Linked DNA regions of Schizosaccharomyces pombe. Each later gene encodes a partner of the first gene's protein in a complex. Each region holds a gene or a part of one and is shown on either strand. Other genes may lie near its edges.

Evidence for each region. The genes of interacting proteins can lie anywhere in the genome.
Region 2: rav1 (region 1) and rav2 share a complex: the UniProt entries of both Schizosaccharomyces pombe proteins name them as parts of the RAVE complex.

What each region holds. Positions count from the first base shown.
Region 1 is NC_003423.3:3,522,827-3,529,381, forward strand, and holds rav1 (RAVE complex subunit Rav1), read left to right. Parts: upstream 1-1,709; 5' UTR 1,710-1,846; coding exon 1,847-1,933; exon of another isoform or gene 1,934-2,048; coding exon 2,049-5,855; 3' UTR 5,856-6,019; downstream 6,020-6,555. Other genes in the region: ubiquitin-conjugating enzyme Ubc15, read left to right, coding at 49-93, 176-319, 398-427, 504-729, 800-858; hht3 (histone H3 h3.3), read right to left, coding at 6,293-6,555. UniProt on the Schizosaccharomyces pombe protein: Component of the RAVE complex which is required for stable assembly of the vacuolar ATPase complex V-ATPase.
Region 2 is NC_003423.3:1,861,041-1,864,986, forward strand, and holds rav2 (RAVE complex subunit Rav2), read right to left. Parts: upstream 2,108-3,946; 5' UTR 1,990-2,107; coding exon 1,126-1,989; 3' UTR 501-1,125; downstream 1-500. Other genes in the region: csc1 (FHA domain-containing protein), read right to left, coding at 1-59; trm141 (actin binding methyltransferase), read right to left, coding at 2,328-2,786, 2,859-3,146; protein tam8, read left to right, coding at 3,480-3,713; elongator complex subunit Elp6, read right to left, coding at 3,737-3,946. UniProt on the Schizosaccharomyces pombe protein: Component of the RAVE complex which is required for stable assembly of the vacuolar ATPase complex V-ATPase.

The sequences.
Region 1 (6,555 bases):
TCTCAGTTTACCAAATATTTAGAACGTAATTATTAAAATATCGGAAGTATGCCTTCTTCTGCTAGTGAACAACTTCTTCGAAAACAACTAAAGGTAAGCGCACGAAATCTTCATATCCAAATATTCATGATTGTACATAGTATCTTAATTCTTGAACACATACTGATAGATATAGGAAATTCAAAAAAATCCTCCACAGGGTTTTAGCGTTGGTTTAGTCGATGATAAATCCATTTTTGAATGGGAAGTTATGATCATTGGACCAGAAGATACATTATATGAAGGTGGTTTTTTCCATGCAACATTATCGTTTCCTCAAGTATGTATTTATGTTTCACAGAAAAATAATATTTGTTGTATAAGGTAAACAAGCTGGTCACTAACCTCGAAAAATTAGGATTATCCTCTGATGCCTCCAAAGATGAAGGTATAGTAAATACATTGATTTTTTAATTGATAGAAACTACATAGTCTATGCCTAAAAACGATTCTAACGGTAACAGTTCACAACGGAAATTTGGCACCCTAATGTTCATCCGAATGGCGAAGTTTGCATATCGATTCTTCACCCACCAGGAGATGACAAGTATGGATACGAGGATGCTGGAGAACGTTGGCTTCCGGTACACTCTCCGGAAACCATATTGATTAGTGTAATTTCCATGCTTTCTTCCCCTAATGATGAGTCCCCTGCCAATATAGATGCTGCCAAGGAATTTCGAGAAAATCGTGAGTATATACTAACCTACAAACAAAAAAATTTACTCTTTAATAATCAAATCGTACTAACTTTTTCCAGCACAAGAATTTAAGAAAAGAGTTCGTCGACTTGTTCGCAGGTCAATTGAAATGATTTGAAGATAATGTTCAACCTAGGTCCCTAATTTCCTATATTTAGAAAAAAGGCTATGAAGGAAATTCAAGTCGCTGCATAGAAAACCTCCTAAGTCAACTAGCAGTAAAGCTTACTCAAAAAGTCTGTAGCTTTACAAGTTGAATTGCATATTTTATGCCATCTTTGAAGTATTGCCGTTGCCCATTTTTTGAATAAGTTTAGCAAACTGTTCATTTATTATCACATATAATGAAATATTGGCAGAACGGTTGACATTTTAAAACTAACAGCTTTTGATTCTTTTCTGTTTTTATTATAAAGCTTTCAAGTTTTTCAAGTGTTACAACCGCAAGTGATTTATCCTACTTCTTTACCAATTACAGCCATAATTTAGATAAACAACAAATAAAAATCTACATTTCACGATTGAATTTTTTTCTTTGAACAAACGTCAGCTAATACTTCGTGAATTGATAGTTTTCCATTGAAAATTTTCTATTCAAGTAATTATTTTCGCTTATACGCTCATACTTTATCAGCGACGGTTTCAATTCCGCGTTTTGCACAACATACATTGAATGCAGCGATAAATCTCAGTCTATTATATTTTACACTAACTAGCTCAATGTCTCCTACGTATCCGAATGACTGATTCAATGATTAATCAAACCAATTAAAGAATCTAGCGAAACTTCGTTGAGTTTGAAAATTAAATACTCAGAGTAACCATTTAAGATGAATATTAAAATTGCATTAAGAACCGTGAAAGCATTGCCTTTTCATTTAGCGTTTTTTTATTGCATTATGCTTAAACTTTTCAGAATGACAATTAATATTACGCTATTCCGCAGTATGGTGGTGTTCACACTGGTTCAAATGCGTATATGGAACGTAGACAGCTATTAGGTCAAATCAGATATTAATAGCTTTTATCATTGTCATTTCTCCCTTAACTATTTGCAAGTCGAAAAAAATCCAATTTTAGCTCATGCACAGCGTTCTGCAGTAAACATGCCTCTGGCATTCACAAATCCCGGTACACCTCTAAAACGTACAGCTGCCTACGACAATGTACAATGGAACCAAAATCGAATATTAGTAAGTGAATGGACGCAAACGATATGCGTTTGTCTGCTAGTGGTTAAACTGCAGAACGAAAGCAGCATGTCAAAGTATTGTTTCCAATTGAAGTAATTGTTTAACTAAATGGTAGACATTTGGAACTCGCTATACCGTATTAATTATTGTAAATAACTACGAATCTTATCAAAATATACAATTTGGAGAGTCTATTGGTGCAGTGGCTTTGGACCAACGTACGGGGTTTCTAGCAATAGCACATGGACAAGTTTTGGATATTTATAAGCCCGCCGATTCTTTGAAATGGACTCATCATTACAATTATATAACTCAGCTTTCTGAAGATATTACTCAACTATCTTGGGGATACAATTTTGATCTGTTGCTTTGTGCTTCGTCATACACTAAACTTATAAATTTCTCTGAAGACAAACCCAGGTTGGTTTGGTCGCAGAACAGAATCTCGGATTCATTCCTTAGTAGCACTATTTCTTCCGATGCTTGTTTTATAGCTTCTATCGAAACAAAAAATCCACTTGCTAAAGTTTGGCAGCGAACATCTCCTCAAGGTACAGTTAGCTCATGTGATGATTTCAGCTATCTTGTTCATCCTTGTCGCGTAAGGTTTTCCCAATGGTCTAAACACCTTCATCCGGACGCCAGTGGATCGACTCCCTTCCTGAGTACGGTAGGCTATGATAACGTTCTAAGAATTTGGCAAGTTGGTAGCCGATTTGGTTCTCAATTAATGCATCTTTCTTGTTTTCTTAACTTGAGAAAATACTACAAATCTGATCAACCACCATACTGCTGTTTTATTGATAAGGACGATTTTACTATAGCATTAGCACATGCTATAAGTCGCCATTCTGGTCAAGTGCATAAGGATCGCATTTTAAATAGGCTTCTGGCTTTGGCCAGTGGACAACCACATATATTTTTGCTATTTACTTTTGAATGTTTGTACATATTTTCTCTAGTAATTGACCAGGAAACTTTGTCATCTTTTGAGCTTATTAATCAAGTTCCAACGAACTTTCCCAAAGGCGCTCTTCAACCTGACGGATTTATACCTATTTACAGGACCTCAAAACACGAATTTTACGATTATAACATCATTTTATTTTTTCAAAATTCCGCCCGTGAATACATGTTTAGTCTTACCGATTTCTTTTATAGTGACTTTGAGTTAAGAGTTAGTTACGATTTTTATGGACATGATTATCCCATAAAAAGCTTAACAAGAACCTCTAATGGTCATGGAATTGTATCCCGAGATGTTAATCGTATCTGTATGTTTCAATCATACATATCGCAAGACGGGAAAAATCAGTTAATTTGCAGGTTCAGATTATTACTTGGAGAATCTGACTTTATATTACCTCTTTATGCTGGTGAATATGCAGCAGTACTCAACTTAAATTCTTTAAAATTATGGCATTGCAATGAAGCAATTCCTCCAACCCTTCTCTGTACATGTCGTCAAGTCCCTACTAGTCCGATAATAACCTTCTTTATTCTTCCTGTTCAAAACAACGATAATTCCGCCCTATGTGCTTTGACGGAAGGAGGCCATGCCTGGTTTTGGAGTGTCTCTAACGAAGCTCATGATGGTTCTGCTGTACTTCGGTTTATAGATCGGGTAAATTTTACAAAGAATTTAAATATCGCATCGGCTGTAGATGTCATGGGTTGGTCTTCTACTTTAAATTTGAGCAGTTTATCTTCATTTGATCAAGAGGTATTTCAATCAATATCAAAAGACGGTTTATTACAGACTTGGATGGCAAGAGTATTGGGAGACGATAAAGCGGAAATATCGGAAATTTCCAAAGTGCAAACTAGCATCAAATCTGCAACTATGATCAAAGGCTCAACATCCAAGAAAGTTGCTGTTGTATCTGAGAACAATCGTCGACTTTCAATTTTCGACACGCGTAGTTCAGAATTCTCTGAAAAGGAAGAATTTTCCTCTGTTTTTGATGATTATGGACCAATAAATGACTTGGATTGGACTTCTACTCCCAATTCCCATTCTATCTTGGCTGTTGGCTTTCTACATGATGTTATTCTTTTGTGCCAAAATCGCCGATCTTATATGAACGATATTCCATGTTGGTCTCGTATTCGTAGATACAATCTTTTAGAATATACAAATTCATTAATATCTGACTCTTCTTGGTTGGATAATGGGACTTTAGTTACTGCCATTGGTAACGGACTTTTTTATTTTGATAATTCACTTCCCGAAGATCAGTCTTTACTGTTCCCTGCATCATTGAAACGTTCCGCAAAAAATATTTTTGATCTTGCATACCAGCTTAATGGAATTTTACCAGTTTTTCATCCTCAATTGTTGCAGCAGCTTTTACTTAGAAACCAACCCTTTCTATTTACTAATATTTTGCTAAGGTTTTACTTGTGTTTGAAAGATGATGTAGATATGCATTTTCTCTTAAATATGGACTGCAGTGAGTTTTACTGCTGTGACGAAGAAATTTCTAAAGACCTTTTAATAAAAAGTCTCAGCCAAAATTCTGCGGAAATTCTAAATCCTGCGGAATTGGATTTTGAAGAGACCAGTGTCTCAAAGCATTTAGGATTATACATTGATGAAATGATAAAGAAGTTGACTGCATTATTAAAAGTAAAGAAAGTCAAAACCCTCACTCGATCATCTCAGTTTTTACTTCTTAATTTAATCGAGGCATTCAATAAGGCAAGAGCATTGCGAGATTCATTGGACCTCAACGGAAAAAGATATTGCATTATGCTAAACCAGTACGTTTTATCAAAACATCAACGTCAATTAACAAGCTTGCCCACCCGAGAGATGGCGTGGGCTTTTCATAGCTCTAACAAAGCTGTTCTGTTGGACCACACTAAAAAGCTTCATGGAAAACCATTGTTATGGAATGCTGTTGAAGAATATGCGATACCGTTTTGGCTAAATGAGCAGCTACTGAAAGATGTATTTTTAGAGCTGTCTCGCAATCATTACGCTGAGATTGACGATAGGAACCCAGAGAATGTTAGTTTATATCACATTGCTCTACACAAAATAAATGTATTTCGTGATCTTTGGCGTCTTGCTAGTTGGCATAAGGAATCAGCTCGAACGGTTAAGTTGCTTTCGAATGACTTTTCAAAAAAGAAGTGGAAAGTGGTTGCATCCAAGAATGCTTTTGCACTTTTAAGCAAGCACAGATATTTTTATGCTTCTGCATTTTTTCTTTTGGCAGATAGTTGCTATGATGCCGCAAAAGTATGTATCCGTAATTTAAAAAGCATTTCATTAGCCATCGCAATGACTCGAGTCTATGAAGGCGACGATGGTCCGACCTTAAAGAGGCTAATAAACGAGTATGTACTTCCTTTGGCTGTATCTCAAAACGATAGATGGCTCACCAATTGGAGTTTCACTATTTTAAAACAGGAAAAAAAGGCCTTGCAAAGTTTGGTATCTCCCATTCGCTCGCTGGTCAGCGATAATGACTTTATACAACTTTATACATCCGATAAAAACGACCAAGAAATTCACGAAAATAAAGATTCACAACGAAATAGTACTAACGAACCCGTACGAAATAAGTTTCCGTCTGATGATCCTGCCTTCATTTTGTTATATGAATGTTTAAGATCCAGCAACGTGCAAATTGATGAAAGTCTTGAATATCGATTTGTTTTGCATAATGCTAATGTGTATTGCCAATTAGGATGTGACCTAATAGCACTTGGGCTTTTGCGTAATTGGAAATTCCAAAAAAATCCTGCAACTGCTCATCTTGAAACTGAGGATTATATGGTAACTGACAAGCAGTCTGCAGTGGAAAAAACTCACGACTCCCCCAAACTTGGAAAAACTCTTATGGGACAAGATATCCGGCCAACACCGGACGATGTCCCCGAATTTAATGAATCTGCGTTCAGCTTCGAGTAATTAATTAATTATCGATACGAGTTTTTAAAAATACTACAAAAAATCAAATACGGTCAACCCTTAGTTTATCGTGTTTCAATAATGATATTAAAAATTAATTTACTATTAAATAGCATATAAGAATACAGATGAAGTTCCTCAGCGTTTCATTTACACAATTGCGCAGGACGTAAAGAGAGAATTAAAAATTTCTATACATTTCGAAAATAAAAACGTCCGCGGTATAACTCGAAAAAAGAAAACAAAAATATAAATAGATAGTGCAGCTCACGGAAACAAAAAATTAGACTTGCATATCGTTTGTTACATTCCACAACACTCAAGGTTAAATTTTGTTTCGAAAGGCAAAGTAAATGAGGGAAGGATTACAATGGGATAGACGACCAAAAGATTCCAAATCACACCATCAGATGGCAACCACAATTTGGTAAAGTTGCTTATGAGCGTTCACCGCGAAGACGACGAGCCAATTGCATATCCTTGGGTTGAATAGTTACACGCTTTCCGTGAATAGCACACAAGTTAGTGTCTTCAAATAGAGAGACAAGATAGGCCTCAACAGCTTCTTGGAGAGCACCAATGGCAGAAGACTGGAAACGCAAGTCAGTCTTGAAATCTTGGGCGATTTCACGGACCAAGCGTTGGAAAGGTAGCTTACGAATCAAAAGTTCAGTAGACTTTTGATAACGACGAATTTCAC
Region 2 (3,946 bases), 1.7 Mb from region 1:
ACCAATTTCTTCGTTTGAAATGATTCATTTAATGGAGTCAATGTAATTACGGCAGACATACCATTCAGGGTGAAAGTTGAAACGTATCAAATGGGCGGATGTCGAAAGACGGTAGTAGAAGGAAATTGAATGTCGAGAGCGAAATTGTCCTTTTTAACCGTTGCGATCAAAATATACCACAAAAATCAAATGTTTAAAGGTGGAGTGATATTGAAAGACACAACGTTCAAGCCACCAAGGCGTGTGTGAGAATATAATTCATACTAGAATTATTCTCTTATGGAAATCTTGTGCATCTTCTGTCGCTTTAATACAATACAAATAATATTATATCTTCGTATAGTAATATTATAATTGCTTGAAAAGCATAAGAAGTTAATGTACATAAAAGCACTTTAAATTAACGATTAATGCAGCATAGTAACCTACTTTTCGGTTTCACCCATTTTAAGATAGTAATTCTCTCGTTTTATAATACATTGTGAAATACTTTCACGATTCTTGGTAAATTCATGCTTATAGTGTATCATGCATAAATTAGAAGTGTCATTATTTTATTCCTAAACTACATGGACAAAATGAATTGCAAATTGAAGCAAAGAGAAAGAAAATCTTCAATCGAATATTTAATCAGATAGGCTTAAAAGAAGTTGTTAATAACTTCTCCGTTGATGAAAAGCAAAGCTATAAGCTACAATAATGGGAATAGCTTTTCTCGCTCTCCACTACTATAGTTCATGTACAGTTGTTTCTTTTAAATGCATCATATATAGGTCGGAAAATTAGGACAGAAAACACATATATCGTAAGTAATGGATAATATATACACAAAGATAAATCTCAAAGAAATGGATGTTAACTTCAATAAACTTGACATATTGATTCGTATGTGGCATGCGGATATGAAGTAAGTAGAATGCAGTAAGGTTAAACGAATGAGATCCAAGAGAAAAAGCCAAATATGTAGATGAAATTCATAGAATACAAAGTTAATCATGCAATCAAGCGAAAAACTGAACATAGTTTCAAAACATAAAACCAGGGAGATTCCCAATATCAAACCATTTATAACTGCTTAGGCAATTGAACAGAGAGCAAATCAGTACTGCCACTGAAAAATTCAATTTATTTGGCACCATATAAAGAAGAAGAAATGGTTTTAAACCTATATGAAACGTCGTTAACCTTTTTTTGTAACGCTGAAAGTTTTGCCGTTACTGCCAGAAGAATTGGATCCTGAGAAAAAGCATCTATTCTTTGAGAAACAAAAGGTTTAAGCATTTCTATATCTACGGAATTTTTTGCAAAAGACTCTAAAACTTCATTGGGACCTGAAAGCCTAAATAAATGCAGGCAGACTGAAGCATTTGAAATGCTGAAGCTCAGAGCTAAATTAGAAGGAAGAGGAGGTGAAAATAAATGATTACGAACGGTCTTGTGTATTTGACGAGGAGAATGGTTAAGGCAACTAAAAGGGTTGCTTGTTCTGGAGACAATGGAATTTTGACTTTTTAGCGATATACTGCTGGCATTGGATGGGATCTCCTCTTTTTCAGATTCCTCTTGCATGATGGAATGAAGTAGACATACAATCGCATGCAAAATTTCCTGCAATTCCTTTATGGCACGTTCTGTATTATGTCGCAATCGGGGCAAGCAATATAAAGCGTAATGCATATAATTACTCAAGTTGAGTATTTGGTCCAAATGAATAATAGCAGAATCTTTCAGCTTTAAAACATGCGTAGTACGACCAACCTTCGCTGTGACATTGACACGAACTACGTTACTGCTGCTTCTTGAAACAATCCCTTTGACGGCGTCGGTTTTCGGAGACGTGAAAACTAGGACAGTTGGATCATCGGAAGAAATTAAATTCAATGCTTCCTTTAACCCTTCCGACATAGATTCCCAAAATTCCGGTAGCACATTAGTCTCCAACCACTCTTTTTCTTTAACGATAACAGAAGCATCAATTTCCGTTTGCATAATAAAATAGTTTACAAACGGGATTTATAAAGTAGATATGGTGTTATATCATTCCAAAAAAGTTGAAACAAAAATATTTAAAAGCAGCTAACGCTGAAGGTGGGTAGTAAGTAAAGTTATACTAGTCACTCGTTGATAACAATTAAATAGCATATGCGAGTGTAGTTTAAGAAAACAAAGATTTTCTATTTTTATTAATTAAATTATCAAAAAACTAAAGTTACTGTCATAAACCTTACAATAAAACTCAGGACTCATGTCTAAAACGGATTACATTAAAAGCCCTATATAAAAGAATAAAAAATACGCAAACAAAGAAACTTTTTCTACCAAAGTATTCACAGCTTTTTCCAAACTCCTTGTAAAAACGTACGCTTCATATTTAAGTTACGCTTTCGGTTGTCAACGGTGCGATTAACTCGATCTAATGTTACTAAGCCAAACCCGGCGCTTTTCATCCATTCAGCAATATCTTCTTCTCGAAAAAAAAGTGATAAAGTTCCATCCTGTCTAACGAACGTCTGTTCATCAATCATAGATGGGTCACCGCTTGTCATGAATTTCTCTTGAGCAAAATCGCCATCACAGTAATCACGAAACACCAAATGCCCTCCTGGCTTTATGACTGAAGCCAAGTTCTTAATAGAACGAAGCTGCTTCTCGCGTGGAATGGCAGATAATACAAAGATGGCAGTTAATGTATCAATGCAAGCAGAACCCAAAACTTCAAGCAAAGAATCTTCGGTTATATCATTAACAAAAGGAAAAACTCTATTTTCGTTATAACAGGAATGCTTCTAAATTAAGACAAAGGTTAGTAAATTAAATATTTCAGAGCAAATTGGCATAAATTTAGTAGCTCTCCTTACCTTCACAAAATCTATAGCACGAGGACTAAAATCACAGCAGTATATCTTCAAATTTGGTTGCACTTCTAGCAGAGGATAGACGAGGTTTCCAACACCGCATCCGACTTCAAGGATAGTCAATGGCAACTTATCGGGCAATCCAAAATAACAATCGAATTCACGATCAAGCCAGTGTCTATCTTTGAAAAACCTTGTTTCATTTCGCTTGTAAAACTTATCCCAAGACTTTTTCGACTCCTTTTTATATTTTTCAACCCAAAAATCACTTAATTTTGATATACCACTCATATCTCCTAACAATTTCGTAGCACGGTCTTCTATATGTATGAAAGATGTTTCAAAATATTACCCAACCCAGTAGTTATTCCAAAAAATGCGATAAAAAATTTGTATGACAACGATTTACCCTACAACCTTCAATGAATACCAAACTGGCTCGATCAATTTTTTTTAAATTAAAAAAGCACTATTTTAAATAAAAAAATAACCAAACCTAGTTCGTTAATTCCAAATTCACAAATCAATGCACACTGTGCAGAGAGCGTCTTGTTCTTCCTTGTAAACCTACACCTATACCAATTCGCGCGCACCTTGTGATACTCGCAACTCTACAAATATACAATGAATAGGACTTCAGAAAGTGTGGAACCTCAACAAAATGAAAAAACAGCAGTGCATTGGAGCAGAGAATGGGTTCCTGTTGTTGTAGATACATATTCTAATGAAGATGATGAGGATAATGAAGAAGGAGATGAATCCAGGCCTCAACGAACATTTTTAGTAAAACGGTGGGTGCAAGATAATGTACAAGTGGAAAAGAAGGGAGACGAAGAGACTGCAGCAGCAGATAATTGAGAAAAAGTAGATGAAGTAGGAATTTAGAGTTGCAGCGTCACCTGCCCTTTGGAATATACCTTAGCACCTGCTTCCGTTACCTCGTATAAAAGCTCCTTGTCATCATCCTCCGGGGTCTCGCATATTCCACTACGAAAGTGATTTGGCATTCGAGAAAGACGCAGGAATCCGGTGATTCGTCGAGCGCTACCGCTAGTCAAAGGCCGACAGGAAATACATCTAGTTGCCATGTG